Linked DNA regions of Rattus norvegicus. The protein of the gene in region 1 binds, or shares a complex with, the protein of each later gene. Links are inferred from orthologs where the notes say so. Each region holds a gene or a part of one and is shown on either strand. Other genes may lie near its edges. The genes, in order: Tubgcp3 and Tubg2.

Evidence for each region.
Region 2: Tubgcp3 (region 1) and Tubg2 share a complex: the UniProt entries of both Homo sapiens proteins name them as parts of the gamma-tubulin ring complex. The link is inferred for Rattus norvegicus from reciprocal best matches to the Homo sapiens genes TUBGCP3 and TUBG2.

What each region holds. Positions count from the first base shown.
Region 1 is NC_086034.1:83,570,178-83,586,281, forward strand, and holds part of Tubgcp3 (gamma-tubulin complex component 3), read left to right. Parts: intron 1-62; coding exon 63-140; intron 141-1,078; coding exon 1,079-1,284; intron 1,285-2,713; coding exon 2,714-2,883; intron 2,884-4,565; coding exon 4,566-4,684; intron 4,685-5,183; coding exon 5,184-5,309; intron 5,310-8,242; coding exon 8,243-8,311; intron 8,312-8,623; coding exon 8,624-8,756; intron 8,757-9,619; coding exon 9,620-9,786; intron 9,787-15,214; coding exon 15,215-15,325; intron 15,326-15,616; coding exon 15,617-15,725; intron 15,726-16,104. UniProt on the Homo sapiens protein: Component of the gamma-tubulin ring complex (gTuRC) which mediates microtubule nucleation.
Region 2 is NC_086028.1:86,584,099-86,600,302, forward strand, and holds Tubg2 (tubulin gamma-2 chain), read left to right. Parts: upstream 1-7,511; 5' UTR 7,512-7,616; coding exon 7,617-7,665; intron 7,666-7,941; coding exon 7,942-8,054; intron 8,055-8,245; coding exon 8,246-8,413; coding exon of another isoform or gene 8,414-8,435; intron 8,436-8,718; coding exon 8,719-8,787; intron 8,788-9,062; coding exon 9,063-9,142; intron 9,143-10,697; coding exon 10,698-10,824; intron 10,825-12,007; coding exon 12,008-12,094; intron 12,095-12,201; coding exon 12,202-12,351; intron 12,352-12,784; coding exon 12,785-12,937; intron 12,938-13,015; coding exon 13,016-13,177; intron 13,178-13,385; coding exon 13,386-13,583; 3' UTR 13,584-13,767; downstream 13,768-16,204. Other genes in the region: Plekhh3 (pleckstrin homology domain-containing family H member 3), read right to left, coding at 14,849-15,025, 15,445-15,636, 15,922-16,204. UniProt on the Homo sapiens protein: Tubulin is the major constituent of microtubules, protein filaments consisting of alpha- and beta-tubulin heterodimers. Gamma-tubulin is a key component of the gamma-tubulin ring complex (gTuRC) which mediates microtubule nucleation.

The DNA.
Region 1 (16,104 bases):
AGTACAAGCGAGAATAAAGCAAAGTTGATACAATTGCTCTTGTAATATTTTTACCTAAACAGGGAGTTTTGAAGAATAAATGGTCAATCCTCTACCTCTTGCTGAACCTCAGTGAGGATCCTCGGAAGCAAGCCAGCAAGGTGGGTGCGGGAGGGCGGAGTCCTGTGGCATGCCATACCATGTTTTCTTTTCTTCTTTATTATCGATTATTCTATTTATTTACATTTCAAGTGTTATCCCCCTTCCTGGTTTCCCCTCTGCAACCCCCTATTGCATCCCCCTCTCCCCATGAGGGTGTCCCCCAGTCACCCACTCCCATCTTACTGCCCTAGCATCCTCTACACTGCGGCATCAACCAAGAGCCTCCCCTCCCAGGGATGCCAGACAGCGCCATCCTCTGCTACATCTGCGGCTGGAGCCATGGGTTTCCCGTGTGTACTCTTTGATTTGTGGTTTAGTCCCTGGGAGCTCTGGGAGTCTATAGGAAGGAAAATAGCGGGAGCAAAGTAAGAGGCCCACCAACCCTAGAAGCCACGTCATTTCTTCTTTTCCAGTGGCAGCTTCCAGAAGATGTGTTTCAAAATTGTTTTTTTGATGCAGCAGTGTCGTTGAGCAGCCCGAGTGGTCAGAGAATTGACACTTACGTTAGGACCATCAGCCTGGAAGGTCTGCAGCTCTTGAGCTGGGAGAGCCTGTCCCTGTCTTACCAGCAGGCTTCCTGCTGTGAATGCCCTGCCAGATTTACCTGAGCCTCGGGCTCCTCCCGGCTGTGGGGTCCAGCACAGCAGATGTTTGACTGGCAAGATCCTGAGGAGTACGGATGGAGGATTCGCTCCAACCTCCTCATTGTGTAGCTGGGGTGTACTTATAAACTTGTTTGTGCTTTATGGTGATGTTTAGAGAATGTCTGATATTTTCACTTACGAATTTCAGGAGCATTTTCATTGACTTGTTTGAATAAGTGTGAAATTCAAATCCAGTTGCAGAGATAGCATGGGACAGGCATGTGAAGTCCTGTGGGTTGGGCGAGCGCACCTGCAGTCTCTGACCTATGTGCTTACAGTGCGCTTCATTCCAGGTAACTAGCTATGCCTCCTTATTTGCACAAGCCTTACCGAGAGACGCTCACTCGACGCCTTACTACTGTGCCAGGCCTCAGACCCTCCCCTTGAACTACCAGGACCGCAGCACACAGAGCTCTGGCAGCTTGGGCAGCAGCGGCATCAGCAGTATCGGCATGTGTGGCCTTAGCGGCCCCACACCTGTGCAGCCTTTCCTCCCCGGGTAACTCGAGCATTCGGGCGCACGTATACACAGACAGAAATACACACACACACACACACACACACACACACACACACACACACGCACGCACACACACACACACACACACACGAATGCATGCACACACGCACACACAAACCAGCCAGGGTGTGGGTGTGGCTCTCAGTGTTTTAGGTCTGTTCCCAGGCTTTTAGCAAGCTGTTCTTGTTGAACTCAAGTCTTAAGTAGCAGGTGAGTCCTCTGTAGGCTGAGGTTCTCAGACTCTCAGTTGGTGCTGTGAGCAAAAAGGATGCAGCCATCGATGTGCAGCTAAGCGGGGCAGGGTGAGCTTCATGCCATTGGCACTCCTGGTGATCACAGTGTGACAGGACTGAGCTGGTGATTTCCAGAGGAGCGTTGACCAGAGAATCAGCGTCAAAGGCTTGGTGCTCTCCACGTGAGCACAGTGGAATCACATGTTACTTTGAGTCCTAAACTTGCACGATGGTATTGAGGGTAGACTGTGTGTACCACACACAGATTGCTCTGTGACAAGCCTGTCACCTTGATCAACAGCAGTTACAGCTGACCCAAGGACCATGTTTGGCTGAGAGCGTCTCATCTGTGACCTTGGACTTTAGAATGCCTTTTGATGTTGTGAAAAGTTGTAAAGACAATTCTGAGCAGAATTAGGCTTTCATTTTCATTTATACTTTTTTTCAGATGCACAGTATTACTGAATGCTGCTGCCAAGCCTGTGCCCACCGAGTGTAGTGTAGGACAGGCCTGGTAGTTGTCATAGGGAGGGTCCCCAGTACACGGGCCCCCTGTGTGCAGGCCCCTAGGAGAGCAGGTGCCCTGAATGCCTGTGATTGTTTCAGTCCTGAAAAGCAGGAGTTTTGTTACAGTTGTCACTAAACATAAACATCATGCTCCTAGATTTTCACAGAGCGACTGTATTTTCTGGGTTCCTTTTGCCTTTCATTTTATGTATTTGTATATTTTTTCAAATGGGTTAAACTGCAGGGTCACTTTTCATAGTATACACACAGGGTGGGGTGGGGGCTAGTGACCACAGATGGGACAGGGCCCAGGTGTTAAGACCTCTCAGCTCGGGAAATGTCGAATGAATGAAAGGCCATGATCTTGTAGTTAAACTAGGGTTTCAAACTTTCTCTGTGTAGGCGTGGTGTGTGCTGTGTGTTTGTAGAGAATTCGAGTGGAGAAGTATGGATGTCGGACGAGATGCCCAGTTAGGAGTAGGTCTGAAAACCGGGTCAGTGCAGGGGACTGGAACCAACTGTTATGGGGACATGTGGTTCTGGAGAGCCCTGTATCAGATCTATAAAGTAACATAGTATAATAACATAGGCGAATCCCTGGAACGTTTCTATCTCTCGTGGGTAGTCTGCTTAGCTGAAGCCACAAATGTCTCTTTCTTACTCTCTAGACAGTCTCATCAAGCTCCAGGAGTGGGTGACGGCCTTCGGCAGCAGCTGGGGCCTCGTCTAGCATGGACTCTGACTGGAAATCAGCCTTCACAGACCCCTACCTCCAAGGCTTTCCCAAATGCTCTTTCTCGAAACCTGACAAGGTCAAGGAGAGAAGGGGATCCAGGTGGTAAGATGTTTTGTTATTTAGAATTCAGCACCCCATCTGTAGTGATTCCTTAGTGTTCATGGACTGAAACCCGGGGTCCCTGTGGGCAGATGCCTTGTGAGGTCACTTTTTGTTGGTCACTGGTGTCTGCTTGGTCTATTCCCTCTCTTGTCCTTGATGCCTCCTTGACCCAGTCCCCTTCCCATCTCTATCTATCTGTCATCCCTCCTGGGAAGCCACACAGGAAGTCAGGAAGGTTGCTTGTGTCTGAGGGGGGTGGTATCCACCTCGTTTGTGGGGCGGGGATTATCACAGTGCCTGTACTGTGAAGGGAGCTCATAGGTGTTTCTGAGGTGTGAGATGAAGACCTCTGTAAGGGTTTTACCATTGCGTTAGGCTGTCAGGGAGTTGTGTCTTTCATGAGTGCCAAATGTAGCAGTGTTTGGCAGGTCACTAGTTCTGAGTCACTAGTACTGTGAAACGGGCTTTGCTTTGGTTCGTGGTCTGCTGATCCTGAGGCTGGGGTTGCTGCTTCCTCTCCTTAAGAGTAACCAAGGGGCCAGTGCCCTTTGTAGCTCAAGGTATATGAAAGCCTTTGCCCGTGCAGCTGTCCTCATGCAGAACCTTCTCAGCCACATTATCCTGCAGTGTGTAAGGGTGTGCACTCAGGTGTGTGGAATAAACCAGTGGCCTGTCCTTAGCCCTCAGACCTGTGCTTCCCATATAGCCAGAGTGGACTACATGAAATGGGCAGGCGGGCGGGAGGTGGGGTGAGTAGGAACAACAGCAATTTGGCTGCTTTAACCTAGGTGTACTTGTTAAAGGCACAAATACTTCTCTTCAATGACAGTTTTAAAAAATAATTCCAGAGTTGTACCTGCTGCGTACAAGAGATATATTTTGAGTAGAGAGTTGCAAACAGGTTAAAAGTAAATGGGTGGATGGTATATGCTTGTGAAACTACCCACAGAGGGGCAGAGCCTCTGTAGAAGAGACTTGAAGCATCGAGGTGTAGGTGGGCCTTTAGAACAGGGACGGTCTCCTCTTGAAGGAGCTTTAGTAGGGGAAAGAAAGCAGAGGAGTCCATGTGAGCTGCTTCTCAGTAGCTGAGCCCCAGTGGGGATGGACAGGGATGCCATGTGAGATGGGAAGGGCGCCGTTAACCCGATGGAGGGTTAACAGCCCTCTCCACAGCGTGAGGATGTGTCCCAGCTGTTCTCTCTGCCATGGCTCTGAGTGCTGACTCCTCATGACCATCTCGGGCTCCCTCAGGTTCTGGGTGCTGTGCCTCTTTGCCCTCATTTTTGGCTAACACTCTAAGTTTATTGTGATATTTGTTCAGAAGAAGTGGGGAGGCCGATGTCTTCTCTGAACTCTGAACTCCATTTGTAGTGGCGTTAGGAGGATCCTGTCCTGCTGTCACCATGTAGTAAGCTGGTATTACAAGCTCCCTATCTTACACTCCTTCTGGTTCATTTATGTTGTTACCTGTCTGATGGTCACAGGAAGAGGCCTTCTGGGGTCCCTGTAGGAGCACCGCCCCTCAGAAAGCCCTCACCTTTCCGAAATGTGACCTTTCTTTTGTTTCTTGAGCCCACTTCCCGAGTTGGTCTATGTGATCTGGGAGCAGATGTGTAAGAGGTGCTAATCAGTCGTGCCGCTCGCCAGGAGTGCTCCTTACTTTCTTTGCAATCATTCTGCAGGCACATCGGAAGTAACTGAAGCAGCTCTTGTGAGAGACATTCTCTACGTATTCCAGGGCATTGACGGCAAAAACATCAAAATGAGCAGCACTGAAAACTGTTACAAAGTGGAAGCGAAGGTAAGCGACAGGCCCCGCTGTAGCGTCCAGAGATAGCGTCCACACAGTCTTCCCAGTGCTGTGCCTGGGGCTGGGCAGATTTGGCAGTAAACAAGTTTCGCAGCCCGGTTTGACTTCTTTTGTGACCGTTTGTGGCTGAGGTCACAGTCCCTCTGTGGCAGTGCTTCCCTGATGCAGTCTTCCCACATCCCTGCTCACGAGAGTCTGCCCGCTCTCAGCTCTTCTCAGCAGGACAGAGGTCATCACGTCCCCCAGTCTCTGAGGACTATCAGGGTTCCTGATGGGCATCCCAGAGTGGTCCTGCAGGAGCCACACAGCGGGAGCCTGGAGCCTCTCCTCGGCCTCCCTGTTCCTGTGCTCTCTTCAGCTTGTGGTGTGCTGGTGACTTAACCACCTTTTGTGCTCGTGTTTAACGTGAGGATATTAGGACAAGTGGCAGGGCTGACGATGAGTCTACCGCTATCTTTGAGTTTTGACTTTATCTGTGCTTACTTTTCAGGCAAATCTAAGTAAGTCCTTGCGGGACACGGCGGTCCGGCTTGCTGAATTGGGGTGGCTACATAATAAAATCAGGAAGTATGCTGACCAGAGGAGTCTGGACCGCTCGTTTGGACTTGTAGGGCAGGTATGTTCATCCTCGTTAGGTAGGTGCTTCATCTAAGTAAGGTCCAAGTATGAGACACCGTCAGGGCTCTTCTTGAGGAAAGTGTCAGTCCTGAGCCACCGGGAGTGTGCAGGAACTGTGAGGGGATGGCAGAGGGAGGTCCCTCAAGGCCAGAGGGAAGAGCTTGAGAGGGGGAGGGACTTTGAAGTGGAAGAGCTTGGGCCTGCCCTGTAGAAATCACTGCCATTTCTAATGCCACGGATGTGGGAAGTGGGGACTTACAGGTGTCACTGCCAGGGTGTCCACGGTGGGCACTGAGGGACCTACTGCAGTGTCACTTGAAGCAGGCACCTTTGTCTCTTGACTGCTGGATCTTGAGGGAGCAGCAGAATAAAATGTGAGTGTGGAGTACTTCCAGAGCCCCAGCCTCTTGGACAGGTTTAGTGGTCCATGCCTTTGGTCTCAGTTGGATTCTTAGGTAGGAATTGCTGCTGGTGTTACTGACAGAAATTTACTGAGAGGCTCTCAGAGACAGCACAGAGAGATGCTGCAGTGGGGCTGGTGGTCAGGAGCATGGGAGGGCTGCATGGCTTGTGGTCAGGAATAGGACTTTGAAGTTTCAAGTTTGACAGCACAGATTTGTCACCCTACACAGATTCTGTTCATTCACCATAGTTTCTTTCTATAACTGAAGGTGAGGAGAGACTGCGTAGTTAGCCCCTGGCCTTGAGCCTAGCAGTTTCCTCTTGGTTCTGCCTAGGAAATTGGCCTGCTGGCCATTGCTCCTCTCCTCCTCTGAGGGCTGATATTAGAAGCAGGCCTGCCTGGGGCCAGCGCCTGTAGCACAGAGGCAGAGTCCATTCTTTGCTTCACTCGTAGTCCTGTCTAGGAGAATGTATGACATTGTATGACAGTCTCACTCCTTTCTGGTCGTGTGGAAGATGTGGTGTGTCTTGCCTGTGACACCCACGTCCACGTTTGGCTGTTGTGAATAGTGCAGCCAGGATGGACAGTGCCGCTGTCCCCTCAGCACACTGACTGTCTGCAGGGCCCATGGCGTGTTGCCACTTGAAGTTGTGCTGGGTACTTACCTGCGGAGCCTCTTAGTAGCTGACCCAGGGCTCACCCCAACAAGCAGTGTGCTGGCTCCCCTTCCTCCCTGTCCGCCTGATGATTCCGGCTCTTACTGGAGTCTTTCACATTTTGATTTGCATTTCCCAGATGATTAGTGATTTGGACATTTTTTTCATATGCTTATTGGCTTTGCCTTTTGAGAAATGTCCAGTTCTATTCTTTTGAAACTCAGACAGTGTGGCTCTCTCCACCCTTTTATACAGCCTGGGTATTGACAAGTTGTCAGATGTGTATCTTAGATACTTTACCACTGTAGTAGCATCATAAGCGTCTCACAGCACAGGTAGGGTGATGTGACTCCTGTACTGAATGAAGCCTTTTCTGTCTGTTGTTCTGCTGCTGCTGCTGTCAAGGAGTTATGGCCGTCCGTGTTAGCCTGCTTGACTGCTCTTGTTGGGGATCCATCTTCCTGCTGGACTGTCTTCTTTGTGCCTGTCTTGGTCATTTCTATGCACATTCTCCCTGAGGCCTCAGCAGAGCCCTTCTCAGACTCAACATGGGACGGGTTGTGCAGAGGGACACTGGCTCCTAGGACAGACAGTTTTCAGCTCTGCTCCTCCTCTGGCAAGCCCAGGCGGCCCAACTGGCTCCCTCTGGCTGTGGGAGAGGAATGTGCTGAGAGAACCCTGCTGTGTGGCATTTTGATGTGGACCAACTAGTAATTTCAGCTGTGTAGTCTGCATGTTTGCATTTTCCACATCAGACTACAACGTGAACTCTTGATCATTTGATAAATTGTTTATATTTTATATAAATATGTTTGTGGTTCTGTCCTTTTGGACTCTGGGGTGGTGGTTTTGTAAAATGAGATGTTGTACCTGAACAAATTCCGCATTGCTGCCTCTGTGAACATTAGTGAAACTGCTAGTCAGTGAGGATTTCTATGTCCCATGCTAGTTATTTCTGTATATAAAACCTATCCACGTGTGTATGTGTGTGGTTGTGGGAGTGGGAGCTTTGGAAGTGTTAGCCTTCCTTGGGAGCCCAGCACTTCACTGAGGACTTTGTGGTTCCCTAGGTTGGGGCAGTTCATCTTGCAAGTCTGACCTTTGAAGTGTTGTTGTGTGTCTGCAAGGCTGGTGTGTTTTGCAAAGCTTATTTTTATAACTACAGGAGATTAAAATGTTCCTTTTGTGTTCATTTTTTAACCAGAAGGGTATTTTGTATTTTAGTTTCATTTTTAAAACTAAAAGGGCATTTCATTCTTCTGAGTGGCAAAACAGGCCCATGATTTATGAGCTGGTGCATAGCCCTAAGGTGGGGAGCCATGGAGCCCACATATTTATTTAATGGGGTAAGGCTTCAGGCCTTATGGTTGTTGATGGTAGCGTGTCTTGCAGACAGACTTTGGACTGTGTGCTCTGTTTATAGCCTTGGGTTCATGCCAGAGGACACTTTCACTGGACTGCAGGCCAGCGGGTCCTTCTTTCCCACTTCTGACAGTGTCTTTAGTTCAGGTCAGAGATGCAGAGAGCAGGCAGTGTTCAGTGCTCTGCATGGGAAAGTAAATCGTGTCAACACTGAGGCTGGCAGAAGTTCCTAATGCTTGGAAAAGCATTCAAGAAAGTTATTGTAACTGCTAAAACTTAGAAAGGACGCCATGTTAAAGGGCCGTTCTCTGAAGTGACCCACACATGTAGCTTCATGAAAATCCGACACATCTCCATTTCTCTTCTGTAAGGTTCAAGCTTCTTGTTATCAAAATAGATGCTACAGGTTCAGGATCTCAGCTGCACTGAGCTCTGTGGGAAGGCGTTGTCTCCTCTCGAAGAGCGAGGTGTGTGTGCGTGTTTTTTAACCTTGCCTGTCTTCCCTCACAGAGTTTTTGTGCTGCGTTGCACCAAGAGCTCAAAGAATACTACAGGCTCCTCTCTGTTCTGCACTCCCAGGTAAGGACTTCCCCTGTGAGTCCTTCAAGTTTCAAGAGTTAGAAAATCAATAATGTAGAGAGGATTTGTTACTTCGTACGTATACAAGAGTAATGGCTTCCATAGTATCAGATCTGTTCATTGCAGCCTAGAGCCAATTAATTGTCCATTTCCGGGCCCGTCTACCATATGTAGCCTGGGAGTGCTGTAGTTTTACAAACGACTGTGACGTTATTGTTAGGGTAGCTGAGGCCTTGTTCTCACCGTGTGTGGGTTTAGGGGTGATGGGCTGTACTCACTCACTTCTGCTTAACCTTTCCTGTTGTTTTTTAGCTCCAGCTAGAAGATGATCAGGGTGTGAATGTGGGACTGGAGAGTAGCCTCACACTGCGGCGCCTCCTGGTTTGGACATATGATCCCAAAATAAGATTAAAGACCCTTGCTGCGCTGGTAGATCACTGCCAAGGTCTCCTGAGTTCCTCTTTTCTGTGCTTCTAGACATGCTTGAGTGAAAACTTGTCTGTAGGTAGGGCCTGTGATTCTGCTCTGGCTGAGGGTACTGCAGATCATAGCTACAGGCTCACAGGGAAAGTAACCTGGGACCAGGGCAGCCTGCCATTAGCCTGAGATGACGCTGGGAAGGAGGTGTTCTGTGTGAGGCTGCTCTGTGTCTTGCAGCAGTCTTGTCTGTCCTGTTTGGTCTTCGCAGACACTGCTGTAAGACCTGCTCCTGGAATCCTGGGTGTCTGTTCATACTCCTTTACTTGCACATCGGAGCAGTCTGTATAAAACTAGGGGCCATGTAAAGCCCTCAGCTTCTGACACAAACTGATGACTGCTGTGCTTGTGTTGCCGGGACCCGGTTCTGTGGCTTCTGCACCTTCCTCAGGGGTCCTGCTGAACAGTGTCACACTAACCATTGCACTGCACTGCACTGCAGGGAGTTGGGCCTTGTGTGCCACAGCCCAAGTCTTGTCACTCCTGATCCTTACACCGTCTGCGTCTCATGGGTACTTAGATGTGAACTAAAGTGCAACATGAAGTGTGAACTCAAGTGTCTAGGCTGGGCAGCTGGTTTTACACCTGACAAACTTCTTGGCTGACTCTTCCTTGAGTATTTCTGTATAAAGCCAGATTCTGAATCTTAGTGCCCAGGCCGTGTGCATGGCCCGCTGCTGCTGTGTTGAATATAGGAAGTCCTCGCTAACTGAAGAAAGCAGGTGCATTTTATCTCTGCTACTTGGCTGTCTTTGGTTAGTGTTTATTGATTGGTTTGTGCCATGAATTCAAATGTGGCTATTTCTGTGTATTTTCCCCCATTTCCCCTAGGACGGAAGGGGGGTGAGCTGGCCTCTGCTGTTCACGCCTACACAAAGACAGGGGACCCCTACATGAAGTCCCTGGTGCAGCACATTCTGAGCTTAGTGTCTCACCCTGTCCTGAGCTTCCTCTACCGATGGATATACGACGGGGAGTTGGAGGACACTTACCATGAAGTGAGTATGGGGGCTTGGGGCTACGGGGCATGGCTACCACCTCTGCAGTGTGCCTTTCTCAGCCATTATCTCCGCTCTGAACCGCACTGTGCCCGCACTCCAGTGTCAGTGCTGGGAGTCAGCGGACTGATGGCACAGGGAGGGCGGCTCTTCTGGGGCCTGGCGACTCAGCCCAGGGCAGCGGTCTTCTTACATGGCTGTTTTATAAACCTGGTCCCTAGGTGCTGCTGATTGAGTAAAGCAAGCTACTGCATTCGTGTCTGTTTTCCTTTTGAAAACAGTAGTTACGTGTGAGGCAACATGTGAGTTCCTAAGATACCTGGCACAGACTGTGTGGTAAACCAGAGGACTTTGGCTGTTGGGGAACAGGGACAACACACTCAAAAGTGTTGTCCGCAGCAGTAAGAAAGGAAAGACGGAAACACGATCAGAGCTGTATCGTAAGTCCACGTATGCTAAGAGGCTGAGGCGTTCACAGACACAATGTACAGCACTCACAGCAGAAACCCTGCTGTTTGCTGCAGAAGTGGGTGTAGGAGAAGATATTTTTTAGGTGGGCGGTGGGTTGAATCCAGGCCATGTTTGCCAGACAAACGCTCCACTGACCTGTATCACCAAGCTTCTGTCTGGATTTCTGAAATGTGCGTACACAGTTGTTGATTACGTTTCTCAGACTGATGCGCTCGCTGTAGGTATACATGTGGGGTATTTTTCTGAAGATACCTGGTTGCTTGAAATACGAGTAAGACTTAACGTTTGATTTATTGTGAGCATGCATGGGTGCATGCGTGTCTTTGTATGTGGGTTGCAGATATGTGTCACTATATCCAGGGTGTTTGCTTCTGTTTTTTAATGATATTATTATTTTTTCTATTTTTTCCATATAATATATTCTGATTATGGTTTCCCCTCCCCAGCTCCTCTCAGGTCCTCCCTACCTCCTCTCCCGCCCTTTCCTCTCATTAGAATACAAATTGGCATCTAGAAAATAATAAAATATGGTAAAATAAAAACGAATATGCTGGAATAGGAGAAATAAGTGAACAAACAGAAGAAAAGGAGCCAAAGGAAGGACACGGAAACATAAAGATGCAGAGGCACAGACAGAAGTCTCACAACAGCATTGGAAACCGTAACATTTATGCAAACGACTGTGAGACCAAGAAAAAAGAGCCTTGTTTCATATTTGTAAATTGTGTGTGGGTGAGCGCGGTGTCCATGGAAGGGGGCTCTGGCTCCCTGGAGCTGGAACTCTAGGAAGTTGTGAGCCATCCACTGTGGGTGGTGGGGATCAACTCCATCCTCTGCAACTGTGACACCTGCTCTTAAGCTCGGAGCTGCCCCTCCTCACTGAGCCAGGGCTCCAGCCCTGGGCTTTATGTGTTACTCAGTGAGCGTGTTTGTCTGCTGAGTGCCAGAGTTAGTCCATCTCTGCACTCAGCAAGCATAAAATCAGTTCTCATCCCTCGGCAAGATTATATTGTTTTCAAGCTTTTCTTTTGAGTTAGTTTAAGAAAGTTCTATGAGTTCTGCAAATATCTCCTGGACCCTTTCCTGGATTAGCTAAGAGCTAGCATCTTCCTCTGTTGATCCATCAGTTTACCCACACCTCCCCACACTAAAGATTCTACAGTCAGAGACCAATGTCTAACCCGAGTTCGCACAGGGCACGGGCAAGACCAAGGTCCCTAGTCCTTTGTCTGCCAGTCCCTTTGTTTGCATATCAAACTTAAGAAAGTACAACAGGAAGGAAGGTTTAAGTTCATTTTATGAGGCCAGCGTAGCACCACACAAGACAAATGTGTGATATTCTCTTAGGTGTAGAAGCCTCTAAAAGCAGAATTTAGAATTCCACATATTGAAAACATTGTTATCAAACGGAGATTTATCCCAGTAATTCATTACATAGGTGTGGACCTTAGTCTACCATCGTGACAGGCATGATAAGAATTTAGGGGCCCAGTCTACTCTGTTGATGTTAGAGAATTGTCTATTGACGTTTAGCACAATTGGGTGGTAAAACCTTCACCAGAAAAGGTCTGGCTTTGGGACAGTCAGTTACAGTCTGACTGGTAAGAGGCTGTCCCACTTGTCTCTGGTTGAAGAACGTGACAGTGTGTATGCTGCCATCACTCCTACTCAGCACTGTGTTCACTCTGGCAAGACAGGAGTGGAGAGGGATCCAGTCCGGGAGAAAAGATAGGAAGAAATTGGCTTAGCCCGTCTTAGGTCACGTGGTCTTATCATGAGGAAACCCTAGGCGAAGTACATCGTGTGTGTGTGGAAGTACATCGGGAGGGAGGTGGTCAGACTCACGGACCATCAGACAGTGACAAAACCCCTTGTTTCTCTATGTCAGTAAATGCTGCCAACACGACATAAAGAAAACAGCTCCACCCACATCCCACACATGAGATGCTTTGGATTGAGTTTAGCCCACCAAGCCCTTTGAGTACTGTTCTGTGAGCATTTGCCTTGTCCATGACCTTTGTGATCAGGAAGCTGCTGGATTTCAACCTCGGAAGGGGACGTGAGCTCTCTTAAGAACTAAGCTGGAGCCCTGAGTGGGTGCTGGGAGAGGGAGGTTGCTGTGGGAGCCTCTGTCATCTGCCGATGTGTCTGGTTCCTAGAAACGAAGCTGCACGCTGAGGATCACCCCTCTGCTCCTGTTTTGGGGTGGGAGTGTGCCTTTGTCTAGCAGTTAATGAGAAATCAGGGTACAATGACGTTTTATTTTTTCCTGGATTCTTTCTGTGATTGACACAATGGTAGAAATTAAAGGACCTTGAGGGGCAGTGCATCACTACAGTGCAGACTTATGCAATTATATCCCGACCTTGGTCCTTCCTCTGCCACCATATATGTCTCACAGAGCTCATTATATTCTAAAGATGAGCACACCCTTTGTGCTCGCCACTGGCTGCTCGTAGAGTGATTGCACGCTCCTGTGCCCTAGATGAAGCAATGTGTTCATGACTTCCAAAGATGACTGAATTGCCTGGGAGGTTTTTAATAGTTTAAATTAAAATTTCTTATTGTTCAGACTGATGGAAACCCAGCTGCACTCAAACTATCAGGATGAATTGGTGTGCTGTCTATAAAAACTAGCTCTTGTGGTTAAGTGAATCACAGGAATATAATTTATATGCAATTAATCTAATCTGTTGAATGGGAAGCCAAAGGGCAGTGGTGGCATGGTGAAGGTCGCCAGGGAGATGTTACGGTGGGTTTAGAGCATTTCCTAGTTCAGTATGTGCTACATGATAACCTCATCCTAATGGAGCGTTTATTTCTCCAAGCTGCCTCCGTAATGTATTTTAAGCAAGAGTGTAAGTTAGATTAGTTACTTATAAACAAATAATCCCTTAGAAACAAATAATCTGGTCACAAGAGTGTCAGCATTCAAAAGCTTAGCCTGCAAACCCATGGGTGAGACCTCATCTTAAATGACAGTTATCATCTCAGAGTGGATTTCTGCAGAAGAAAACTCGTTAACTGCTCTGAGAGAATGTTGCCATCTAAAACAACAAAAACAGCAAAATGTTTATGTGGTGTCAGTTATTAAGCTTTTCTGGTTTACACAGTTGTGCAACTTAAATGTCTTGCTGGTGTAAGCACTTCTAGCAGAAGTTAGCCTGGGAGTGTGCTGTGTTTTCTCAGTTTCACATGGACTGTGCACCATGTCCTACCTCATTTTTTCTTGGAAGTAAATGATGAGTGTCACTTTCTGACACTCAGCTATTCTTCATCCAGTTCTTATAAAGTTCCTTTGAAATCCTGACTAGCTGTTAGTATGCCCTGTATTTATAAATGTAAATTTGCATCTTGTTTTTCCTGGAAGGATTAGTACTCTTCTTTGAGTCCTTGGAAGGCTGTGACAAAGTCAGAGGCTGTGTTAGTGCTCACATGGTCGTTACGGGTCATTGGCATGCTCGCTTGTTCTTGGCATTTCCCCAGCAACTCTGGCTTTATTATCAACTGTGTTGTTGTTTAAGTACAAAACCCAAGATAAACCACTGTTGGAGTTAATTAATCTAGTAGTTTCTCACTTACAGGTTGTTTATTTATTTACTTACTTATTTTTGAGACAAAAATCTTGCTATGTAGTCCTGGCTGGCCTAGAACTTGCAAAGATATGTCTGCCACCCAATTGCTGGGATTAAAGCATGTACTACCCCGGATTGCTTTTGACATTTAGTAGCATGTTAGAGTGTAATGTATTTCAATCAAAAAGCTTTCCTAATGAAAGGGTAATATTTTTTGAAGGTAAATAGCGATAGATATAATACAGGACAAAATAGAGTGGTAAGAGTACACTGAATGCTGTTTCTGTAATCTGGAAAGTGGGATGAGAATAGGAAGCTTACACTTCTAACAGCAGCAACCAGACCAGGTCAGGGCCCGGGGGAACCACCAAAGGGCATTGGCACTGTGGCCGTCTGCTGTCTCATTTAGCTAAGGGTATAGAATACAGGGGCCCTGCTGGTGGGCGTGCTAGCACACAAGTGTGTGCTGTCAGATACATAGAAATTGGACATAACTCACTCGTCAGTTCTGCTTCTGGAGAGTGGGTTGGTAGGGATCAGGGCAGTGGTACTAAGCCTCGTAGCTCACCTGAAAGTGGTCTCTTTGTACTGTAGATAAGGGGGGCAGTGGCCGCGGGATCTTCTTCCTGTGACTTGGATGAGGGAGAAGGTGTGTTTCTCATAGGTAGTGCCGGGAGAGGCTCATAAGAAAGTCTCTTTAGCGCCCTTTGGCTGCTTGGTTGCTGGTGGCCTTGGCATGGGAGCTCTTGTGTTGTGGACTCTTGTCTTGTGTTGTCGTTTGTGGACACTGTGTCAGCTGCTGCTCCAGCCTGTGGCACTGCACTCTGAGGTGGAGGTGGTCATGAGCGCACAAATGAGGGCCACTGGTCTTGAGTGCTGAGAAAGTGCTGGAGCTTCGTGCGGATGCCACGGCAGCAGAACCCTCGGGACACGGGTCCTGGAGGCTGCCAGGGAGAGGCTTCACTGCCCTCACTCTGGATCTAACTCCTGAGTCCTCACGGAGAAGTGCAACTTGCTTTTGTTGTGGTTTGGTTTAAATTATCTGGAACACAGCCTAGCTTTCCATCCAGAGTGCTTTGTTAAATAAGTTTATTGTGTAAGCGAGTGGACTCTTTGTGTCTGAAGAACTTACTTATAGAGTAACTATATTAATGTCCTTGTTACTATAGTATTTTCACAAGTATTTCTTCATTCTAATTTTTGGTTTTTTGAAACAGAGTTTCTCTGTTTGGCCCTGGCTGACCTGGAACTATCATGTAGACCAGGCTGGTCTTGAACTCAAGAGTCCACCTGCCTCTGCCTCCCAAGTGCTGGGATTAAAGGTGTGCACCACCACGTCTTTTCAGAGCTATTTCTAACGCCCAGTGTTCTTTTACTCTTAGTTTTTTGTGGCGTCAGATCCAACAGTTAAAACCGACCGTCTGTGGCATGACAAGTACACCCTGAGGAAATCAATGATCCCTTCCTTTATTACGATGGACCAGTCTAGGAAGGTAGGTGGGGCAGGACACCCCCATTCAATGTTGACCGCCATTGCTCAGTGCTTGGACTAGGTGGGTGGCAGCTGAGCGTCACTTAAGGAAGTTTGGTTGTGTTCTGCTGGTGGCCCATGGTGATGTGTGTTTGTTGGTGTGCTGTTTGAGCTCCTAGAACTTACCTGGTGGAGATCCAGTGCTTATGTCCTGTGTTTTAAAATCCGTAGCTAATGTGCAATGTGGGAATATTCGATGTGTTTGGATCACTAACTTGTGTAAAGATGAATCATAGCTTATTTTTCTTTTTAGGTCCTTTTGATAGGAAAGTCAATAAATTTCTTGCACCAAGTTTGTCATGATCAGACACCTACTACAAAAATGATAGCTGTGACCAAGTCGGCAGAGTCACCTCGTGACGGTATGGCAGCTGTAGTGGTGATGACGGTGGTGGTGACGGTAGTGGTGATTGTGGTGGTGGTGGTAGGGATGGGGTGGGGGTGGTAGGGATGGGGTGGGGGTGGTCATGTGGTTATGATGGTGTGAGAGGGTGATATGGACAGTGGTAGGAACCCTAGTGGTGACCATGATAATGTTGCTTAAAGCTCTTTCCTGCGTAGCATCTGTATACCTGGACCACTAAAATACGTTCATACAGAGTGTATGTGAACACGTGTGAAATACCTATTACTGTGTGGTTACTCAAATTTTTTAACATGGAGTTAGTGGCATTGAATCAAGCAAGCTGTTACCTCCTTAGTGATTTGCATGGCTTTATTCCCGTGACGATGAAAAGACGG
Region 2 (16,204 bases), on another chromosome or scaffold:
AGGACTAAGAGGAGAGGACACCTCTGCCGTGTCAGGGTATGATCTGCACATTCTAACCTTGCTTGCCTATAAACAGGGATTTGGAGACAAGTCTCCCCGCTTCTGGCACAGTAGAAGGCGCAATAAGGAAGGCACTGTGATTAATCCAAGAAAGGGCGAAATTCAACTCTTACTCCCCAAGCTTTCACAAACTGCTTACAGCTTATTTGAAAGGCAGTAAACTGAGCCTCACCAGGCTCACCCAGTGGGGAGGCGAGTTCACACCCATTTGCCCGGGCTTCTGGGTAGGCTCTGAAAAGTGGAAGGCCTGGCCTCAGAAGATCATCCCACCCAGCAGTCTCAAACCCCCAGCTCTCCCACCCCACTCTCAAACTTCAAAGGCTGCAGCTAGGCTCTCCCTGGCACTTTCTCTTGGGGTCGCTTGCTAACTAACCTGTAAGAGGAAAAGAGTCCTGGCACCGGGAGGGGGATGCAGACAGCCGAGGCCAGGGAGGGCTGTGGGGTGATTTAAAGCCTTCTACAGAAGTCAGAAGGTTCTATGCGGAGAGCCTGGAAGGCAGCCAAGTTCTCTTTTTAAAAGAGAAAGGAAAGAAAAGAAAAACCCTTGTCTGATCATGACTTAGTAGAGGCACTTTGCCTAACAATTTTCAGTGTCTCCCTCCCAGAGAAAGGCAGCCAGACCGGGACTGCCAGACCCAAAGGAGGCCAGAAGCCTGCAGCTGGTGGCTAACAGCCCAGCCAGATTGTAGAGAGCAGCAAACAATCAGCAAGCAGGGCTTGGAATGTTCCAGAGGCTGGAGGAAGAGGCTCCGACCGAGCCCTCAATAATTGGTTCAGAGACAATTAGACATCCATATGGAAAAAATAAAATAGATCCCTATCTCACGGCAGGCCTCCAGATAAATTCCAGATGAATTGAAGACCTACAGGGAACAAGCTGAACTATCCAAGCGCGGCTGGAAGAAGGCATAGGGTAGATGCGGGGCTCCGGGACAAACATGTAAGGAACGATATAAAGGAAAAGATGGGTGCTATCCTCATGAAGAGGAAAATGGTAAGCAGGAGTTCAGGGGTGATGCCCGCTGCGCTCGCTCTGGAGCTGACTCTGGGGCTCGCTCTGGGGCTCGCTCTGGGACTGGGAGCAGGAAACAAAACTCTTTTTCTTTTTTTTTTTTTTTTTTTTTGGTTCTTTTTTTTTCCGGAGCTGGGGACCGAACCCAGGGCCTTGCGCTTCCTAGGTAAGCGCTCTACCACTGAGCTAAATCCCCAGCCCCACTCTTTTTCTTTTTTAAAATTTTATTTTCAAGACAAGGTTTCTCTGGGTAGCCCAGCTGTCCTGGGACTCTCTGTATAGACCAGGCTAGCCTGGAATTTAGAGTTTCACCTGCCTCTGCCTCCTGAGTGCTGGGATCAGAGGAGTGTGCCACTTTAAAAAAACAAACAAACAAACAAACAAAGAAACAGATAAAAAAAAAACCCTATTATTGTGTATATAAATTTCTGCAAGTGAAGGCCAGAGGACAATTGTATGTAGTGAGTTTCTCACCTACATTTGGGTTCTGGGAATTGAATTCTTGTCAGCAGGCTTATGAAGCAAGTGCTTTTCCCACTGAAACAGCCTGTCAAAATCTTTTCTAGGTGTAAAACTTAAGACACCTAGAATACACACACACACACACACACACACACACACACACACACACTAGAATACACACACACACACACTCAGTGTGTGTCTGTGTGCAAGTATGTGTGTGTGTGTGTGTGTGTGTGTGTGTGTATTAGACTTTTTTAAAAGACAATGATTTGCAGCGTGCACTTCAGCCAAGCAAGTGCTGTGATGACAAGTGTGCACCACCATACCTGGCTGAAGAATATCTTTCACTGTTTAAAAGAGACAATCCAAGGAGCAGGCAATTCAGAGAGGAAAAACCCCCAAATCATAAGAAAAGTAGAAATGCCAGGTGTTGGTGATCTTGTTACTACCAGGCTGCCTGCCTTTGCGAGATACTCAAAAAACCCATTTTCTTCCAAAAGAAAGAGGAGTCGGGGGAGGTGGGTAGGAAAGTTTAATGGAGTTCAACTGTGATAACTAGAAACAAGAAATTCCATCCAGGATCCAGGGAACTGACAACTGTTGCCATCTGATAGCCCAGGTGCAGATTTAGGTACAAGAAAAAAAAGAGAAGAGTGTAACGCGCTACAACGATCTATAATGAAATAAGAAACCCATTGAGTAACAAGTTTCCCAAAGATTAAAATTCCATCCTGGAAGAAGCTCCTAAGGAGGAAGGTAAACAATTCAAAATAACTTCAGGAAGCCCCTGAAACTGACAAGGGTCACTAGGTTGTCCTTGCCAGAGTAAGCAATAAAAGCTGAGATTGTTTATGGATAAAGAATAAATTTACTTTATTCGTCCACTGGGATACTACCAAGCTGCTGCAAAGAACGAAACCGGGCTGGAAATGCAATTCAGAGATGGGAGTATTTAACTAAGCTTATGAGCACAAAAAACAAACAGCGAAAACAAACAACAAAAGGGGCTTTAGGACAGCACAGTAGGCAAACATGCTGACCACACAAGGATGAGACATGCATTTTGGGGACCTGGAGAGATGGCTCAGTGGTTAAGAGCACTGACTGCTCTTCCAGAGGTCCTGAGTTCAATTCCCAGCACCCACATGGTGGCTCACAACCATCTGTAATGGGATCCGATGTCCTTTTCTGGTGTGTCTGAAGACAGTGACAGTTACAACATAATAAATTAATTAAAAAAAAAAAAAAGAAAGAAGTGGAAAACATACGTTTCCTCTCTGGAACCCACACTCCTAAAAGTATGACCTCCATGGGTATGTCATGATTTTTTCCTGCCTGGTGCCTACACACACAAGATATATACATATATCCTATAATAATAATGAAATAAAAATATTATGGGCCGGAGAGACAGCTCAGCAGTTAAGAGTACTTGTTGCTCTTGCTAAGGACCGGAGTTCAATTCCCAGCACCTATTTGATAGCTCACAACCATCTGTAACCCCAGTTCTGGGGGTCTGACATCCTCTTCTAACCTGTAGGCACACCAGACATACACATGGTACACACACACGTGAGGTATATGTATATGCGGGCAACACACTCATATACCTAAAATGTAATTAAATAAATAATACATAGTGGCCAGGGATGTGGCAGAGATAGGATACGCTGGCTGAATACCTGCAAGGTCTTGGGTTCCATCCTTAAGAACAAATATTTTAAAAGTGTTTAAATAAAAATAATAGTACTATGTATGCATATATGTGTATATATATATATAGCATATATATACTCTGTGTGTGTACAGGAGAGAAGGAAAGAAAAGAAAAACTAAATTTACATATATAAACATGACCAAATCACAACAATTCTAATGTACAGAGAAAAAAAGTAGGTTGCTTTTCTATGCTGTTGTACTCTGACACAATTTATATAAGATTTCAGGGTCAGAGAATTAAGGCATTAGTTAAGGGCATTTGTTGTTCCTACAAAGGATCACCCTCCCACCTGATGCTTTCTTTTGGCCTTTGAGTGCATATTCATACATGAATACAAACCACTCAAAGACAGAAAATAATAAAAATAAATCCTCTCGAAGGCTGGAAAGGTTTTGGTCTGACCTCAAAGCTGAGGTCAAACAGTCATAAGTTCAAGGGTAGCCTGGGCATTTTTGTAAGACCCTGTCTCAAAATAAAAAGTAAAAAGGAGCTGGCATGGAGATTAAGCACCCTGACCAATCTTGGAGAGGATTAGAGGTCGAATGCACACACACACACACCACACACACACACCAAAGTAGTTAAAATAGACATTTAAATTTTAATTTTAGTTTTTGGGGTTTTTTGTTTGTTTGTTTGTTTGTTTGTTTGTTTTTTCCTGAGTACTGGTGTTTGGGCTGCAGGGTCTGTGCTACAGCAGGGACCAGAAGAAAGCATCGGAACCTCTGGGACTGGAGTTGTTAGCCATGATGCACTGTTGTGTAACAATTTCCTCAGAGATTGAAACATTCTATTTCCTCAAGATTGAAACACTCTACCTCTCTAGGAAGCCCCCGAAGCAGGAAGGTTTTAAAAAAAAACAAAAAAACAAAAAACCTCAAGCTTCAGGAAGTCCCTGAAACTGACCAGAATCAATAAGCCCCTCCCTGCCAGAGTAAACAATAAAAACTGAGAGTCCCTTTCAGCCAAGGTAAAGCTAAGCCTCAAAGATTCTCAGACCAGACCAGTTTTCTGGAAGAAGAAAAACCTAGAAAGCTGCTTGAAGGAGGGTTAGACCAACTGAGTCACTTGGAAAGGACAAGGTCCAACCTGTTGAACTGCCTGTAGACTGTGCAGTGTGCTCCAAGCTCCCAGCTTTGTGGGCTATCACCATCCTGGGTGGGCTTTGGTGATGCACCATGATTCATTTCTGCCTTCACCCACATCCCTGTAAGTAACCCCAATAAAACTCACTGGTTCAGCAACTTTGACTTTGGTGTTATCTGTGTACTATGGTCTGTCCTGTGCTTCCTATCTGGGGTGAGTAGATGTGTGTGTTGGGTTTCCCCAGGAAAAGTTTTGTCACTATATACAAGTGCTGGGAACCAAACCCAGTTCTCTTAACTGCTGGGCCATCCCTGCAACCCCAATGGGTTTTGTTTTGTTTGTTTTTTAAGTAAAAAGAGAGCTGTGATTATATCTTGAGGAAGGGTATTAGCCTCATGTGAGAGCAAAATCCTAGGTTCAGTTCCTAGCACCACAAGAAGAGAATGGATCAAACACACACACACACACACACACACACACACACACACACACACACACACGTAATTCTTTACTTTTTATCTAGTTTTAAATTTTATTACTATTATTATTTTATTTATTTTTATTTGTTCATTTTCTAAGACAGGTTTTCACCATGTAGCCCTGGCTGTCCTGGAACTTGCCCTGTAGACCAGGCTGGCCTCTAACTCAAAGATCTGCCTGCATCTGCCTCCCAAGTGGTAGGACTAACGGCATGTGCCACCACTGCCTGAACTATTATTCAACTTTAAAAGGCAAAGCTGGGGCTGGAGAGATGGCTCAGCGGTTAAGAGAACTGACTGCTCTTCCAGAGGTCCTGAGTTCAATTCCCAGCAACCACATGGTGGCTCACAACCATCTGTAATGAGATCTGATGCCTTCTTCTGGTGTGTCTGAAGACAGCTACAGTGTACTTATACACATAAATAAATAAATCTTTTAAAAAAAAAGGGGGGGGTGGGGATTTAGCTCAGCGGTAGAGCGCTTGCCTAGGAAGCACAAGGCCCTGGGTTCGGTCCCCAGCTCCGGGAAAAAAAGAACCAAAAAAAAAAAAAAAAAAAAAAAAAAAGACAAAACTGTTCTGACTGTATGGATCCTTTAAGTAGGTAGAGAAGGCAAATCCCTAAGACAGAAAGGATGGTCAATGTCAAGGGTTGGAGAGGGGTGGCTACACAACTGAGAAGTTTGGAGCTTTAGTTTGGGAAGAAGTTCTGGCTGTGGTGGCCTAAGAGAAACATCAGCCGGGAGATCAAGAGATCATGCCTGTGAGCTACAGAGTGATGCTGTGGTCAGCCTGCGTCACATGAGAGATCCTGTCCCCTCCTCCAACCCCTCAAAAAAAAGAATCAAAACAAAAAGTTCTTACACTTACAAAAGGTTAAAATAGTAAACTTTGGCATGGCAGTGGTGGCGCACACCTTTAATTCCAGTGTTTGTTGGGGAGTCAGAGACAGGTGCATCTCTGTGGGTTCAAGGCCAGCCTGGTCTCAGATCGAATTCCAAGACACCCAGGGATACAGAGAAATCTTGTCCCCCAAAACCACTTGGTATCTTTTAAAAAGGTACACATTAATTAATTAAGATACAGGGGTTGGGGATTTAGCTCAGTGGTAGAGCGCTTGCCTAGGAAGCTCAAGGCCCTGGGTTCGATCCCCAACTCCGAAAAAAAAGAACAAAAAAAAAAAAAAAAAAGATACAGTGTAGCCTGAGCTGCCCTAGAACTCAATGTATAGACTAGGCTGACTTTTCTCTGGCTCTGGGTGCTGGGCTAAAAGGTATGCCTCTGCCTGGACCTACTTTTTTTTTCTTTTTTTAATTTTTTTTTTTTTTTTTTTCCGGAGCAGGGGACCGAACCCAGGGCCTTGCGCTTGCTAGGCAAGCGCTCTACCACTGAGCTAAATCCCCAACCCTTTTTTTCTTTTTTTAAAGATTTTATTTACTTATTTTATATGAGTACACTGTCGCTGTCTTCAGACACACGAAAAGAGGACATCAGATCTCATTACAGATGGTTGTGAGCCACCATGTGGTTGCTGGGATTTGAACTCAGGACCTCTGGAAGAGCAGTCAGTGCTCTTAACTGCTGAGCCATCTTTCCAGCCCAGGACCTACTTTCTAATTATATTTATTTATTCTGTGCAAGTTTGCATACTCCAAGAGCAAGCATATACAGGGGTCAAAGGACAACCCAGGAGTAGGTTCTTGATTCTCTCTTTCCATCATGGGGACCCCACAATCAAACTCAGATATTGTCAGGTTGGTCAGACAGGCCCTTATGACGCCCGCCAGCCTAAGATGGTGATTTATTTTATGACCCAGGGTCTCACTATGTAGCTCCAGTTGGCCTGAAATCCATTAAATAGATTGGATGACCTAGAACTCACAAAGATCCTCCGGGCTCTGCCTCTGCCCCGCCAAGTGCTGGGATTAAAGGCACAAGCCACCACACCAGGTCCCAGATGACAAACTCTATAGTTTTCATAGTGTAAGACTATGAAAATAGCTGAACCCTTTTAGTCCCAGCACTTGGGAGGCTAAGGCAAGCAGATCTATGTATTCGAGGCAGCCTAGTCTACAGAGTGAGTTCCAGGATCGCCAAGGCTACACGGAGAAACCCTGTCATGATACACAAAAAGATAAAATTAAAGAATACACACACACACGGGGTTGGGGATTTAGCTCAGTGGTAGAGCGCTTGCCTAGCAAGCGCAAGGCCCTGGGTTTGGTCCTCAGCTCCAAAAAAAAAAAAAAAAAAAAAAAAAAAATACACACACACACACACACACACACACACACACACACACACACAAATTTGGCTTGGGTTAGATGTGTAGCTAAGTGGTTTGGCTCTTGCCTAGCATGCTCGGGGACATGGGTTCAATTCCCCAACTTAAATATAGCCCCTCAATTTAGCAGATCCGGCAGGTGTAGGCAGGTGACTCCCACACTTGGAGCATCCACCTGGCCGCTTCTCCCTCTCCTCCCCCACATCCCTGGGGATCCTCCGCTGGCCAAGTGTTACCGTGCGCACGCGCACATAGTGACAGGAAGCGTGGCCTCACTCTGCGCCTGTGCTGAATTCCAGCTGCAACTGCTAGGAGAGAAAATGATGCCCAGGATGGGCTCTGCCGCCCGCCGGCTGCGGAGAGCCCACACTGCACACGCGCAGACACAGCGCCCGCATCAAAACAGCGGCGGACAGCGCGTTCCCCATGTCCTGCGCCTCTGGCTGGCAGGAGTTCCTCTCAGCCGTGACCCCCGCCCGGCCAGGCCAGACGAGCTCCCGTCTGATCGGAGATGCCCCGGGAGATCATCACCCTGCAGCTGGGCCAGTGCGGCAACCAGAGTGAGCAAGCAATCACTGTGCCCCGCTAGTCTCTGGTTCTATCCCTCGGGCCGCACTCAAGTGCCTGGTACCCATCAATTCCCTTTGTCCTTCCCATGGACCACCCTTCCTATTGAGCATGATGATTCAGGGAAGAGCTGCCTTCTCAGCCCTGGGCTGTGACATCTTCCAGACCCAGGCGTTTTGGGTCACCTCCTGGAGTGTAATAGGCTCTGAGCCTGGGGTTCTCAGGCCTTAAGGCTCTAGCAGACTTGGGCCTCTTTCCCCCTCCCCCAGTTGGGTTCGAATTCTGGAAACAGCTGTGTGCTGAGCATGGCATCAGCCCGGAGGGCATCGTAGAGGAGTTCGCCACCGAGGGCACTGACCGCAAGGACGTCTTTTTCTACCAGGTGCCCCTCCCCCTCCACAGAAACTTGCCAGGACCTTGGAGACCTGAAGGGACTGGCAGCCACATGGTGCTGGGAAAGTCACTGGGCAGATGGGAACAGAATGGCTGTCTTGAGGGAGGGCCTGCCGAAACCAGAGTTGGGGACTTGACTCATCCTAGCTCCCTGGGCCAATCCTGGCTTCCCTTTGACAGGCAGACGATGAGCATTACATCCCCCGGGCTGTGCTGCTGGATCTGGAGCCCCGGGTGATCCATTCCATCCTCAACTCCTCCTATGCCAAGCTCTACAACCCAGAGAACATCTACCTGTCCGAGCATGGAGGAGGGGCTGGCAACAACTGGGCCAGGGGATTCTCCCAGGTGTCAGTCCCAGACTTTCTTGGTAATCCTAGCCAGGGATAAGGCAAGGCTCAAACAAACCTGGGGATCTGTCCAGGCTAGACTTGCAATTATTAAAGAGACTAATGGATATGTTGAGAAGAGGGACTACTTGGAAGGTTATGCAAATTTTATGTAAATCCTTTCACAAAGTAGCATTTCTGGGTTGAGAAAGGTTGCAGTCGGGAAGCTCAGCTTCAGGATGGCAACAGAGACCAAGTGTGGAGTTCTTGGTGCTGAGAAAGGAGCCTTTGGCCTGACTTTCCCTTCCCCATGTCTACATATAGGGCGAGAAAATTCACGAGGACATCTTTGACATCATAGACCGAGAAGCAGATGGAAGTGACAGTCTAGAGGTGAGGGTGTTCCACAGGGAAACAGACTGGGGGAAAAGATCAGGCAGGATTTAAACACGTGATGCGGTGGAGCCATTCAACTGGGCATCCATTCGGGGACATCATATAGAACGCATTAAGGTGACTAAGCCACTGCCTTGTTCCAGGGAAATCAGAATCTCAGTGCTGTCACTTAGCCTCTCCTTGGTCTCTGAGCCTTTCCAAGGAGCCTCAGAGACAAGGCTGATGTCTCTCTTTGAGATACCTGGACACTGCCTCTTTCTCTCCCCATTCAGGGATTTGTGCTGTGTCACTCCATTGCTGGGGGGACAGGTTCCGGTCTGGGCTCCTACCTCTTAGAGCGACTGAATGACAGGTAAGCCTGCGTTTAAGAAGTCATTAGCCTTGACTCTTTGGTATGCGGGTTAATATTTTAATTACACTGTTGCTTATTTTGGGGGAGGCATACCTGTCCATGCATAGATGCATACGTGTGGAGGTCAGAGGACAGCGTGTGCCGGTTGGTTCTCTTTCACCACGTGGATCTCAGGAACCGCTGAGGTCATTAAGTTGTGGTGGCAAGCATCTCTACCTTACCCGCTGAGTCACCTTACTGTTGACTGGTTTCTTTTTTTTTTTTGGGGGGGGGGGTTCTTTTTTTCGGAGCTGGGGACCGAACCCAGGGCCTTGTGCTTCCTAGGTAAGCGCTCTACCACTGAGCTAAATCCCCAGCCCCTGGTTTCTTTTAAAACCCAGTTATGTTCTGTGAATGTTTTTGTTTTAATCCCAGGTGTGGGATGAGAGGCTGCTTCCCAGCAGGTGATTATGATTTGCCTCATGCACTGGAAGGGGCGTGATCTTTGCCAGCTGCAGATAGTTTGATTCTGGGGACTCTGGAGAGAGTATAAATGCCAGAGGCCTGAGAGGGGCAGGGGTGCTTGAAGGGAGGCTGCTACTCTCCCCCACCCCCCGCTTCTGGTTGCTGTTGTTGGTTAACAGGAAGCTGGAGATACCCTGACATGAAGATCGAACTGGCCCCAAGAAGCTCGACAGCCCTAATCAGCAGGAAGTAGTCTAAAGAGGACTATGACCGCTTCCCCCTTTAGCCTTCTTTCTCCCATATCTAGTGTTTGGGGCGTTGGAAGGGATCAGAGTGAAATAAAGGTTGGAAGGAAGGTAGAAGTAAAAAAAAAAAAATAATAAAATAACTAAAAAACAAAAAATGCGAACACCTCATTGGTCAATAAGAAGAGAGTTTTGATGAGTTACCTACCTTGAGCTGACCTGTTAACATGTCTGGAAGGGACTGGCCTGATGGTTAATTGATACAGGAAGACCTGGCCTATTGTAGGTGGCACTATTCCCTTGGTAGGTGTTCCTGCACAGCATAAAAGAGAAAGCTAGCTGCCAGCCAGCAAGCAAGGATCCATGCATTTAATTCCCTCTGCTCTTGACTGTGGACATCCTGCTTTGACTCCCCAGAAATAATGTGTTGTAACCTAAAACTGAAAGTCAAACAAGTCCTTTCTTTCCCAAGTTGCTTTTTGCTGTGTTTGTCACAGTAACAGGAACTGAAGTAGAATTCCTAGATAATCTCTTTCCACGTTGTTTCTTTACCCCCTTGAGCTGGAAGTTTTGGGGGGTTCTGTTGTGTTGTTGTTGGGTTTTTGTTTGTTCATTTGTTTGCTACTCCCTGAGTCACCGGGACAGAACCATCCAGAGAACACCTTGGAAGCAAAAACTGGGCAGGGAGATGGGATGTTCCCTTGGGACCTACAGAACGTGGCTTGTCCTCTGGGTGCCAATTTCTGAGGCGTGCTCTTGATCCTTTTGTACACGAGCTCAGTGGCACTTGGAAAGGAGATCGATGGCTGGGGAGGTCCTTCCGGTTCACAGTGCCTTCCTCTGCTTTCCCTCTTCTTTGCCCTCAGGTACCCCAAGAAATTGGTGCAGACCTACTCTGTGTTTCCCAACCAGGATGAGATGAGTGACGTGGTGGTCCAGCCCTACAACTCCCTCCTCACCCTAAAGAGGCTGACCCAGAACGCGGACTGTGTGGTGAGGAAAGGAAGAGGGAGTCAGGACTTAGCTCCCCTTCTAAGACTTGTCCGTGCCCTTCTCTGGCCCTGGCTCACACAAAACACCCAACAAAGCCATGACACTGGGCCAGATTATGAACTAAGATGCCAACTTCCAAGTTGCTTCCAGGATTTTGGGGCAGCCACAGAGTATTCCCCTGTCCCGGCATATTACCCCATTTTGCCTATTCGGTGCCTCCTTGTGCTTGAACTCAAAGGTCACTTTAATAGCAAAACCTCCCCGCCTCCATTATTCAGATTCCTTTGTGTATGTTGTGAACTAAACTTGTCTTAGGTGCACGTGGTTGTTTATGCCCGTAATTCCATTTTTGCGTAGGCTGAGGCAAGAGGATCACTATTTGTTCAAAGGATAGCCTGGGCTACATAATTAAGTTCCAAGCCAGACTGAGCTATGGACTGAGATCTAGTCTAGACTAAAAGAAAGAAATGGGGGTTGGGGATTTAGCTCAGTGATACAGTGCTTGCCTAGCAAGCGCAAGGCCCTGGGTTCGGTCCCCAGCTCCGAAAAAAAGAAAAAGAAAAAAAAAAGAAGAAATGAAGCAGGATTTTACTAAATCTGTCCTAGCTGACCTCAAACTTGTGATCCTCCTTACCTTACCTTTTTCTTAAATGTATTTATTCTATGTGAATACACTGCAGCTGTCTTCAGACACACCAGGAGAGGGCATCAGATCCCATTACAGGAGGTTGTGAGCCACCATGTGGTTGCTGGGATTTGAACTTAGGACCCCTGGAAGAGCAGTCAGTGCTCTTAACCGCTGAGCCATCTCTCTAGCTCCCCTACCTCGGCTTTTTAATTGGAAATGTGTGTACTCCCATGCCTGCTGTATTTATGGCTAAAAGAGACTAAATCTGAGCTATACCTCCAGCCTTGTTTCAATAATTGCTTTTTCCTGGACTGTAGGCCCAAGGGCGGCACATATCTGTTCTCTGTAGTCTCTCTAGAACCAAGGCATGTGGGGGACATATATGTTTATGGTCCTGTGTCATGCCATTACTCTTATGGTATCCCAGAGATAGAATATTTCTTTGAAGGTAGCAAATCTACTTCCTGGTTTGGGAATTTACAGACATTACGCATTGTCTTATTCCGAGGTCCCCTTTTGCCTCAAAAGATGTTATAGAGCCCCATATCCTGCCAGGTGGTGCTGGACAACACGGCCCTGAACCGGATCGCCACAGACCGCCTGCACATCCAGAACCCATCCTTCTCCCAGATCAACCAGCTGGTGAGCCCCCACTCCTGGAATGAGAGCCCTCTGTCTGCGAGAGAGTCATCAGAGGAGGGACGCTCCACCTCCATCAAGTCCCATGACACAGTATTTCCTGCTCCCAGGTGTCCACCATCATGTCAGCCAGCACCACCACCCTGCGCTACCCCGGATACATGAACAACGACCTCATCGGCCTCATCGCCTCACTCATTCCCACCCCTCGACTACACTTCCTCATGACTGGCTATACCCCCCTCACCACGGACCAGTCAGTAAGAGCTCCCCCAGTGTCCCAGCACTGAGGCCTTTCCCTTTTCCATACTCTCCCACACAAAGCCACTCTTTGCAGCCCTTCTCTACCCACCTCCCCAGGTTCTATACTCAGGGCCTGACACTGCCACCAGTTTGCAGCCCTGCCTCCGTGTTCTACTACCTTTGTTTGGCTCCTGCAGGAGTGCTGCCCAATGGGGTCTCCTGCTCATTGCTCAAGGGCATGGGATTGGTGAGCTGAGAGCCATGATCGATCAATTGATCGATCCTAATCCCATGGCAGAGACTCAGCACAGACCTGATCTAAAGACAGTCCCCAGAGGCCACACCTCCTGCCAGCTGATGGGGACAGAGTTGACCCTTCTCCTCTGTCCATGCCACTCTGAGTTGCTCCCTGACTGCTGCCCGGGTCCCTGTGAATCCCTGTTCCCTCAGGTGGCCAGTGTGAGGAAGACAACAGTTCTGGATGTCATGAGGAGACTGCTACAGCCCAAGAACGTGATGGTGTCCACAGGCCGGGATCGTCAGACCAACCACTGCTACATCGCCATCCTCAACATCATCCAGGGAGAGGTGGACCCCACCCAGGTAAGGAAGGCCTCTTTACCCTAGCCTGGGGACCACAGGATGGAGAAGAAGCCACCACCACCTCTCTGCCCACTTCAGGTTCACAAGAGCCTGCAGAGGATCCGGGAGAGGAAGTTGGCCAACTTTATCCCCTGGGGCCCGGCCAGCATCCAGGTGGCCCTGTCAAGGAAGTCTCCCTACCTGCCCTCAGCCCACCGGGTCAGCGGGCTCATGATGGCCAACCACACCAGTATCTCCTCGGTGAGCACAGTCTCCTGTTGTCCCTGTGTTACCGGGAGTCAAACCCAGGGCTTCGGGAATGGGAGGTAGCTCTCCCCACTCTGAGCCACACCCCAGCTCCTGGTCTTTGGCCACTCTGCTCCATTCCCTATGTCCTTAGTCCCCACCCTGTCTGTCCCTAGTTCTGTGTTCTGCCTGCATGCTGTTCTGAAGCTCTCTTTCCCTCTAGCTTTTTGAAAGTTCCTGCCAGCAGTATGACAAACTGTGGAAGCGGGGGGCCTTCCTGGAGCAGTTCCGCAAAGAGGACATCTTCAAGGACAACTTTGAGGAGATGGACAGATCCAGGGAGGTGGTGCAGGAGCTCATCGATGAGTATCACGCTGCTACCAGGCCGGACTATATCTCCTGGGGCACCCAGGAGCAGTGATTGCATTTTCTGCTGTTCCCCTGGACAAGCCCAGCCCCCACCATGCCTGGACCTTCTGACACAATGTCCCCTCACATTTCTGAGTTCATGTCCCGTCTAGGAGCTGTTCCTATCTCTTCCTTCTCATTCCTGGTTCTTCACTGACTTCTTTGGTTCTAATAAAGCAAGAAGGCTCGATGATAAATACAGCAGAGCTTGGTCTGTGACTATGGGACACCAAGTGAGCACACCTTCCATATGACAACACATGACAACAGGCTGGCCTTCACCTGCTCCAACTTACTCCTTAGGTCTTAGTGTGTTTTCACTGTTCCCCATCTTACCTCGAACCAGCCTGTTTTCCTAGGGGTCAGTCCCTCTCTTGGGATGACTGAAAGTTCCTGACCTGCTGTATCCTCAGTGCCTATGCCCCTGTTCCCAGTTGGGTGACGTTGCCTTAACCTCTTATACTCAAGAGATACAGGGTCTAGGGACAAAGGGGCCATGGTGGTCTGAGCAAGTTAGAATAGCTAGGATAGAGGAGTCCCATTGTCTAGGACCACCATCGTCTTCAGGAACATAACCGTACTGAACCAGCCTGACAGAATAAAAAATTCAAGAGTAGTCCTGCGCCCACCATACCAGAGATGTTTCTACATCTGCACGCGGCCCCAGTCACCTCTCCATTTCATTCTGAAGGCACAGGGAAATGAAACATGGACCAGATAGGGCCCAGGAACTGAACACCAAGGGAGGACCTGGGTAGTGCCTGTCTTGATGACTCACTGCCCTCACAGGCCAGGGATGACAGGAGGCCACCCTCATACCACTTCATGGCAAACAGAGGGTGAGTAATTGCCAGCTTCCAGTATTGCCTTCTTGCCCGCTCCACCCACCATCCTATGATGGCATACTGGCCAGGAGGAGGTTAAAACCAGAAGGTCAAGGAGGGTGGAGCTCTGTGGTATCCAGACTTCCCTCAGTGCCTGGTAAAAGCCCAGTGTGTGGGTGTCCTGGAAGGGGGGAGGGGTTGTTCTGAGCCATGGGGACTCCGACTTGTCCCACCAACAACAGTCCCTCAGGAAGGCTTTGTGTAAATAGCGATTTTTTTCTTCTACAAATAAATTAAGAAACAAACTAGAAAACTGTCCACACCCATTGCTGCCCTCTGGTGTGGGTGTACCCTGTCCCTGCAGGGCCAAAAAGGGTCCATGGTTGCCTCAGATCTCGGAGCACTCCCGGTCTCAGGCTGGAGGCAAAAGAAAAGTCCTGACCTCTTGGCAGACTTAGTCCTGCAGCTGCCTCAAGCAGCCAGACTGTCCCTGGGGCTTTTCCAGAACTTGGTGCTGGCTGGGAGGGGAGGTGTCCGACAGGTCTTGGCTTGGAGGACCAGAGCTGCTGCAGGGCCTCTCAGGGGAGGGGTTGGCCAAGTAGGCATTCACGAGCTCCATGATCTCTTCCACCTAACAGAGGGCAGAGGGCAGTGTGTAACAGGACCCACTGGGTTCTCTTTTTCTTTCCTCTTCCTAAGCTCTAGGGCTCAAGCTTCTGCTAGGTAGGTTCCTGCATGTTCCAGGCTGAGCAACTTTCTCTTCCCTTTCACCTCTCTCCCTTCACACTCATTCCTCCCACCTCTCATCTCTTTCCCCACATCTTCCTAAGGCTGTCTTTGTGAGACTCCCTCCCTACTTACCCAGTGCCTCAGGCCTCTCCAGTGGACTCCTGTCCAGTTACTCTTTGTACTATCTTGGTCTTAGTCTATCATTTGACTCCCCCCAATCCCTTGAAAGCTCTTTAGGCTTGCTTCTGACCACAGCTGGAACCCGAGTATGTACAGCTGTACCTATGCCCGCGTTTTCTCTTCAGCCACCCTTGTTCTCACCTGGGGACTCTGCAGGAGGAGCTGGCTGTCACCCACCCTCAGCGCTAAGGTGTGAGGGCCTATTAGCTGGCAGGCGGCCACATGACCATAGCTGACACTGTGGATGGGTTCTGATTCACCAGGCCTGGAGAGCGACATGGCCTTTGCTCCCAGACCAAGGCAGAGCTTCTGTGGAGCACCTCCACCAGGCTCCTGCAGAGAGATGGGCGGGGTCAGGGTCGAAGGCGGGGCTGCTGCATCTTTATTTCTGGTAAGGGAGATGGCTGCGATCCGAAAGCTTCCTTGACCCTTGATTGACAGCACAGGTGTGGAGTGGCCAAAAGCACCTGGAGGTGCAAGCCCAAAAGCCTGAGAGTCCAGGAGTTTGAGATGGGCGAAAAAACCCTCACTGGGGGTATAGAGGGAGGCCTATGGCTCTGGGATAAAGGTATTGGGGCTTGGACCACCAGAGTCCCCCTTCTCCCTTCTCCCCCTCACCGTGCTCAGCTCCAGAACGTCATACCGAGCAGCGCCGAACCCCGGACACTGCGCCGCCAGAGCCAGGTAGGCAGCCATAGCCTCAGCTTGGCCCATGCCCCGCAGCCGCTTCCAGCCTCCCAGCACCGCAGCCGTCGTGCTGCCGCCGCCTCCTCCTCCCACCTGGGCTGTGCTTTCCGTCGAGCGGCCCGTCCCGATGCGCCGGGCACGCTCCGCCCGCCTCTTGGCCAGGCCAGGGCTCCAGAGCGCCCCGGCCAGCAGGGCGGCGGAGGGCGGTGGCCTC